2 linked regions of the Caenorhabditis elegans genome follow. The protein of the gene in region 1 purifies or fractionates together with the protein of each later gene. This does not show direct contact. Each region holds a gene or a part of one and is shown on either strand. Other genes may lie near its edges. The genes, in order: tbb-6 and ufm-1.

The links.
Region 2: the proteins of tbb-6 (region 1) and ufm-1 fractionate together in Caenorhabditis elegans (co-fractionation; one large-scale study listed by BioGRID). This does not show direct contact.

What each region holds. Positions count from the first base shown.
Region 1 is NC_003283.11:12,259,448-12,264,022, forward strand, and holds tbb-6 (Tubulin beta chain), read left to right. Parts: upstream 1-2,083; 5' UTR 2,084-2,167; intron 2,168-2,350; 5' UTR 2,351-2,356; coding exon 2,357-2,522; intron 2,523-2,578; coding exon 2,579-3,100; intron 3,101-3,167; coding exon 3,168-3,632; intron 3,633-3,686; coding exon 3,687-3,814; 3' UTR 3,815-3,921; downstream 3,922-4,575. Other genes in the region: Putative UDP-glucuronosyltransferase ugt-56, read left to right, coding at 1-108, 175-415, 464-744, 837-1,071, 1,120-1,345, 1,390-1,663; ssp-35 (MSP domain-containing protein), read right to left, coding at 4,053-4,376.
Region 2 is NC_003281.10:7,856,735-7,860,012, reverse strand, and holds ufm-1 (Ubiquitin-fold modifier 1), read right to left. Parts: upstream 1,035-3,278; 5' UTR 1,033-1,034; coding exon 944-1,032; intron 874-943; coding exon 678-873; 3' UTR 501-677; downstream 1-500. Other genes in the region: tomm-7 (Mitochondrial import receptor subunit TOM7 homolog), read right to left, coding at 1-3, 263-400; coq-5 (2-methoxy-6-polyprenyl-1,4-benzoquinol methylase, mitochondrial), read left to right, coding at 1,557-1,725, 1,855-2,117, 2,164-2,589; tag-307 (ApaG domain-containing protein), read left to right, coding at 2,771-2,862, 2,907-2,991, 3,038-3,123, 3,172-3,278. UniProt on the Caenorhabditis elegans protein: Ubiquitin-like modifier which can be covalently attached via an isopeptide bond to substrate proteins as a monomer or a lysine-linked polymer.

The sequences.
Region 1 (4,575 bases):
GAAATCATCTCAGTTGAACCAAGCCCTGAAGTCACTAAACTACTTAACACCGGTAGTTTGCCCACAATATTATGGAACTCAAAAGCATCACCGGAAGAACAACGAACTGTAAGTGAGATTATTTTAACAAATTTCCCGGCTTAAAACGTTTACAATTCTAACTTCTTTTTTTAGATAATGGAAGGCCTTGGTCATGTACATCGTCTTCAATGCACTCACCTAATTGAGAATAGCACACTGATTCCTAAACTACAAGAAATTAAATTTGACTTTGCAATTCATGAAGTATTCGATTCTTGTGGAGTCGGTATTCTTGAGGTAATCGGTGTACAGAAGACTGTTATTGTATCATCAACTGGACCAATGGATGTTGTCCCAATTACACTTGGAATATCTGATACATTGAACACTCCATGTTAGTTTGACACAGAATGGAAATGATTTACTATGAAACCAATTTCAGCTCTATTATCGGATTATGGAAGTTACCTATCATTTTTTGAAAAACGAAGAAATCTCAAGTTTCTATCTGGAATGCTCAATTTCCACGAAATGCAGGACTCAATGATATCTCCGCTTTTCAAAAAATATTATGGATTGAAAAAACCTACTGGTGAAATAATGAGACAAGCAAATTTATTGTTTTATAATATTCATGAAGGATCAGATGGAATGAGAATGAGAGGACGAAGAAGTTTTGATATTGGAGGGATTGCTTTTAAGGATCAAAAGAATTTGACTATGGTATTTTGCCTTTTTGCAAATTTTTTGAATAGCGCCTGAAGCAGTTTGCAAGCTTTACAATAAGATTATGGTGGTATTGATTTTTAATTCAGGAGTATCAAACTCTTCTCTCTGATCCTCGTCCTAAAGTGCTCGTATCATTTGGTACTGCAGCCACATCATCTCATATGCCTCAAAATTTGAAAAATTCGTTGATGACTGCAATGAAACAAATGAACAATGTTTTGTTCATATGGAAATATGAAATGGAAGATAATTTCACAAAACAGGAGGAGCTCACAACAAATATAATTTTCAAAAAGTTTTTGCCGCAGACTGATTTATTAGGTGAGTGATTTTCAGTACTTTTATAAAGTCGTTTTTGAAAAATTCCAGCTAGCAGCAAAATTGACCTGTTTGTTACCCATTGTGGCCAGAACAGCTTACTTGAAGCATTTAATTCTGGAGTTCGAGTGTTAGCAGTTCCACTATTTGGAGACCAACACCGAAATGCAAAGCTTGCCTTTGAAAATGGATTAATTGAAATTCTTCCGAAATCTGACATCGAAACTCCGGCGAAAATTGTGAAAGCCGTCAAAACAGGACTGGAACCGAATGCAAAGTATAAAATATTTTCAGAGTGATTTCAATTGTTCCTAATTTCAGACTGGATCAAAACATTGTTCTTATTTCTTCTCTTTTAAGAAATTCGAAAGAAAACGCCGAGAACCTACTGATTTCCACAATCGAAGCTACATATTCAACAGAGTTTCCACCGAATTTTTCCAAATTTCCAAAAAACTATCACCCAAATACCTTGGTTCGACTAATTGATTCATCGATTGCTTTAGTTTTTATGCTTTTTATTTTTGTTTTTGTAAACCATTTTAGAAAAAACTATGTAGGATTTAAATATCCATTGAGTTTTTCAACAAAATAAAAAAAATGTGATAATTGTTCTACAACAATTCATCTTTAAATGTAATTTTTCTACTTTTATCCCGTTACTGCTCAGAAAAGCTTCAATAAACGTTCATTCCAGTTGGACTAATAGTTTTAATACCGCTTACAGTATTGTAAACTTGAGTGTAGACTTCTAGTTCCCCGAAAACGAGGAGACTATGTCAATCGTTGGAACTTGTATCATGCAAAAAAGATTTCGAAATACCAAGATCAAAATACTAATAACATTTGTTTTGAAATCTCAAGTTTTGCATACTCACTTTAAACAAACTTTTATACAGGTTAACTAGATTATTTAGGGGAATCAGTTGATGGTTGAGTCGTGACTTAACATCTGTCTACTGTTTGTGTGCCTTTGATCTTTTTCCGTGAAATGAAAACAACTTATTTTGTGTTTTGTGTTCAGTTTTCCGCAGTTTTCTTGCAGATCAATTTCGCAATAGACTATATTTCGCAATAGGGAATAGGTATTTAAAGAGAGGTAAACATAATTTTTTCTAATTTTTTTAAAAATATTAATTTTCTGTTTCTTCAGTTAACACATGTAAGAGACACAATGCTGAGCAAATTTACCATTTTTCAAACTGGGTACACACATTACTTAATATGTTTCACTTTTATTTGGTTAAAAAACATAATTGTGTTTCAAATCCCTCAATTGCAGAGAACAATGAAAGAAATTATTAACGTTCAAGTTGGACAATGTGGAAACCAGATTGGAGCCAAATTCTGGGAATACATATCGGAAGAGCACGGTCTTCAAACTGACGGGACATACAAAGGAGATAATGGTTCCCAGCTTGAACGTATAACTTCCTATTATAAGGAGATGGAAGGTGAGGGAATTAAGAAAATCGTTGTTCCTTCTACTTCTGTTTTGAACATATTTAAGGTCGAAAGTATGTTCCTCGTGCGATTTTGGTAGATCTTGATCCCGAATCCATCAATTATGTCCGTTCTACACAATATGGAAAGCTGTTTGATCCGGAAAATGCGGTCAGTGGAGAAAGTGGAGCTGGAAATAATTGGTCAAGGGGATATTACGAGCAGGGAGCTGAAATCGTTGATAAGGTTCTTAGCGTAATCCGCCGAGAAGCAGAAGCTGCTGACAGTCTGGAAGGATTTCAACTTATTCACTCATTGGGTGGAGGTACTGGATCTGGATTAGGATCTCTACTCATCTCAAAGCTCCGAGAAGAGTATTCTGATAAAACCCTGAGCACGTGCTCAATCATTCCATCTGCTAAAGTTTCGGATACGGTTGTCGAGCCATATAATGCAATTCTCTCCATGCCCCATCTCATGGATAATTGTGACGAGAACTTCTGCATCGATAATGAAGCAATCTTCGACATCTGTCAATACAATCTCAAACTTGAAAATCGCGTAACATACGGTGATTTGAATCATCTTGGTAAGACTGGAGAGCTGAGGTTTTATTAGTTAATTTCAGAATCATTCTGTACAACTTACTGTTTCAGCGTCTCTTGCATTATCTGGAATAACAACTTTCCAAAGATTCAAAGGAAATCTGAAAACGGATATTCGCAAGCTCAACACTGCAGGTTCACCTCGCCTTCATTTCTTCATGACTTCATTCGCTCCAGTATATGGAAAAGGAATTATAGATTGTCAGGCATTCAGTATTTCTGATCTTACCCAACAAGTTCTCGATGCCAAGAATATAATGACTTGTAACCATAATCAGGGAAAATTCTTGTCTTCTGCTATTATTTACCGTGGTCAACAGACTGAGAAGAAGGATGCTGAACAAATCATCAGTGTGGAAAATGAAGATCCATCTGAAATGATTGAGTCTTTACCAAAGAGCACAAATACCGATGTCTGTGATATTCCATCGAGAGGACTCAAGACATCTGCTACTTTCATTGCAAACTCCACTGCAATCCAGGAACCACTCAAACGTATTTCTAAGCAGTTTGCAGGTGAGATTTCATAAGTTTAGAAGTTAGAGCAAATTGTATGAAACTACTCTACAGGCCTGTTCCGTCGCAAAGCATTCCTTCATTGGTACACGATGGAAGAGTCGGAGTTCACTGACGCCGAGAACAAAGTGAATGATCTTATCTCGGAGTTCCAACAATATGAGAAAGTTCATTCAGCCTAACTTCTCCGTGTTGAGATTTCAGTTTGATATCGAAAAAATTTTCTTAAATGATTACCAAATATAGTGGGAAACCACATCAGATAATGAACAATATTATACGTTGAATTATAATCGTTTCAGATATTTATTGATTGAAACATTCATAGGCAGAGTTAAACGAGAAAAAGCCCGAAGGCAGGAAATAATAATCATTTATTATTTAGTGTTTCAGATTATTTGGTGATTTAGATCTATTTTCTCATTCGGCAGTGATCTTCACGATGACTTCACCTTGCTGTGCTCCAGCTTTGAATGGTGCTTGAGGATCAGTCTCATCGGCTGGCACTTCAGCATATTGAATGACAAGCTTGTCAACTTTTGGTGGTCCAGCAATACGATTGATATCCAACTTGGTTTTTCCCTTCGGATCAATGAATCCGTAGACGGGACGAACACGGTAGTGCTCATTGTTCGACGATTTCACCTTGAATGCCAAACGAGAATCCGACTCCGAGACGATGTTGTGAACCGAATTACCTCCAGATGCAGGGAAGTTTCCAGTTGGTGGGTCGACGTTGATCATTCTTCAAAACGACGGTAATGGTCTTCAACTTCAAAAGAAGGGAATAAATCGTTTTAATCAATTTTGCCAGAATGTTGACATTTAGATAACCTTTACTGATAAAATAATCAGGCTACGTGAATGATGTGGAAAATTTAAATTTAAAAAACAATTAAACAAGAATTTGAATTATTTTTAGTTTCTATTTTTCTACTCGTTG
Region 2 (3,278 bases), on another chromosome or scaffold:
GATCTGAAATATGAATTCTTAAATCTTTGAATTGAAAGCATAGGTGTTTTTGGTAAAACTTAAACTTTTGACAAATAAATTAAAAAATAATTGGCAGCGTCTCGCATGCAATTGTTCTATTTACACAACGAGAAACTTGTAAAGAAAATGCGGTATCTATATAAATGTTTGAATCTTGTGTATTATGGGACGCATTTTTTATTTATTACGCTCTCTCGGAGACGTGATTTTAAAACTAAATGTTTCTTTTTCTAGTTTTTACCTGTCCATTTGGCATTGGCTCAGCGCCTTTCTTAAATCCAAGGTAGACCACAAACGGCACGAATCCCCATTGGATTGCAAATGTGGAAATATCGACTGTCTTACCGATGAAAGACTTGGTAGCTGGGGAGAGCTTCATCTTAAATAAAATAATATAAGACTAAAAGTAAAGTAGTTTTAAAAAAGTAAGATAAAATGCGGAAGAGCAACCAGTATTGATAAATTGATTGAACAAGTTTGAGAAAAAAGCTTCATAGCGTACTTTGGAAAGGGGAATTTCAATAAATTAATATTTAGAAGAATTTAGATATTCAAATCTGACTTAGCGAGTTTAGGATAGAAATGCACAGAGACATCACATTTTGTAAAAATAATTATGTCATAATACAGGAATGTAGACAACAATTGGCTTATGCTCAATGGCCGACGCGATCACGTGGAATCAGACGAAGTTCACTTCCGTGCTTCAAAAAAATGTTTCCGGCAGGTTGAGCTGGATTGACGCCAACTCCGTCGTTCGTAATGATTGCTGATGTAGCCGCAGGGACCTTGAATTCTTCAGCGGCAAACTTGAGAACGGCGGTGAATGGGGTACTTTCCGGCACGGAGAGGCTGAAAAATTAATGCATGACGCAAAACTCCAAATCAAAAGTAAACCGAAAATTTAAATATAAAAACTTACACCTTGAATGGGAGCTTCGGATCACTTGTTAGAGTGATTTTGAAGGTCACCTTGGAACCGGCAGTTGTTGCTGCTGTTCCACCCGACATTCCTGAAAATCTCTCGCATAAAATCAATAATAATCGTCCAGTTTGTTTGAAAAATTGTTTTTTAAAAAGTCGAACAAATTGATAAAGAAAAGGACATAACAGAAATGCACAAAATAACCTGAAAAACTGAAAAACAATAGGAGAGAAAAACTGGAAAAATGCCAAGTGTCTCTTACAAAACTCGGCCACTTGACGGAACCTAGGCCAGTGATGGCGTGATCAAGAACTATAATATAATTCAATTATTTTTCATATGTTAAAGTTCGAGTGAAATTTAAATGAAGATTGTAGTTCGAACGCTAGTATTTAGTGTACAAATACCACAAAAACGAGAAATACGTCTCTTCAAAATTCATTATGGAGTGATGGCCTAGGAATCTCCACGGGAAAATGCGGTAGAATATTTCTTGCAAGAACTTTCAGAGTATCGTGATTTTTATCACTTAATTTATCATTCAACTTCGCAATTAAGTTCTCAAAATTTTCTCATCTTTTGTCCGAATTAAAACTCATTTATTTTCAGAATGAAAGGAGCAACAAACTTATTTAAAAGCATGAGAAAACCTACGAACGTTGGAAATTTCCGGCAGTTTTCGGTGAATCAAGTCAATTCAGATAATAAACGGTCAGAGCCCGGAAAGAAAACACATTTTGGATTCACTGACGTTGATGAGGCAGAGAAGGAGCAGAAAGGTTAGCTGTTCGATTCAGAAACGTAAAAAAGCTGATAGCCACAAATAATAATCACAAAGTTCTCTACATAAAATAAGCCCTTTTCCAACACATCTATATAATTTACTGATACTATATGTCTTTTTTTAGTTCACCACGTCTTCGCAAACGTCGCGAAAAAGTACGATTTGATGAATGATGCAATGAGCATGGGAGTTCACCGATTATGGAAAGACTATTATGTTGGTGGCCTGCAAGTACCGTATAATGCGAAATGTCTGGATATGGCAGGAGGAACCGGGGATATCGCTTTCAGAATTCTCAGACATTCGCCTACCGCAAAAGTGACAGTTTCCGATATTAATCAACCAATGCTCGATGTTGGAAAAAAACGAGCGGAGAAGGAGAGAGATGTAATTGTTTTTGAAAAAATTCCATATCCTTAATGTATTACTTCAGATCCAACCATCTCGCGCGGAATGGGTATGCGCTAACGCCGAGCAAATGCCATTTGAGTCGAACACTTACGATCTGTTCACAATGTCCTTCGGAATCAGAAATTGTACACACCCTGAAAAGGTTGTTCGTGAAGCTTTTCGTGTACTCAAACCTGGAGGTCAACTTGCTATTTTGGAGTTCTCAGAAGTGAATTCTGCACTGAAACCAATTTACGATGCATACTCCTTCAATGTGATCCCGGTTCTTGGAGAAATTCTTGCCAGTGATCGTGCCAGTTATCAATATTTGGTTGAGAGTATTCGTAAATTCCCGAATCAAGACGAGTTTGCAAGAATAATTAGAGAAGAAGGCTTTAGTAATGTTCGATACGAGAATTTGACATTTGGAGTGTGCTCGATTCATAAGGGGATGAAACCAAGAAAATAATTTATTCCTGTTTGTTTGTTCTTTTTAAAATTTCATTTAATTCCATTTTTCTAGGTGATATTCAGTATTTTTCGTGTAGAATTTTTGCATAAATTTAATTAAAGTTGTTATATTTGTATTTCCTGACATCTATGATTCCGTGGTTTATTCCCGTTGTTACTCAAAAAATCTGAAAAAATTCATGTTTATTCCAACAATTTCAGATATGAAACTTCGAAGTGCTATTCAGCACAGTGTAAGAAACTTTTCCGCTGGGAAAGTCTTACTGTCAAGGTAATTTATAGATGATTTCAGACTCGATAATCATCATTTTTAAGATTCAGAAGCGCCACAACGCCAATATTGAAAGAAATTGGACTTCTCTTGCCATCAACTAATAAACCAACATTTGAAGCTGGACAAGTTGGTTGACTCAATCCAGTTATTTTGCAAAAATATTAAATTGCAGATTTTCATTCACAAAACATTTGCTTACAAAGGAGTCGTTGTTTGCTCTTTTCCATGTAGATTACATGAAAAAAGAAGTCAACAAAAGTAAGTAGCAATAAATTTCTGCTATTCTGATTTTAAATTTTTTTTTAGCGAAAAGCATCTTCTTACGCGTGATTTCTACCAAGTTCTCATTCATCGCTATGACTGGAGTCATATGGGATTCCCAGTAGATATTACATCGTATTTGGTAGATGCAC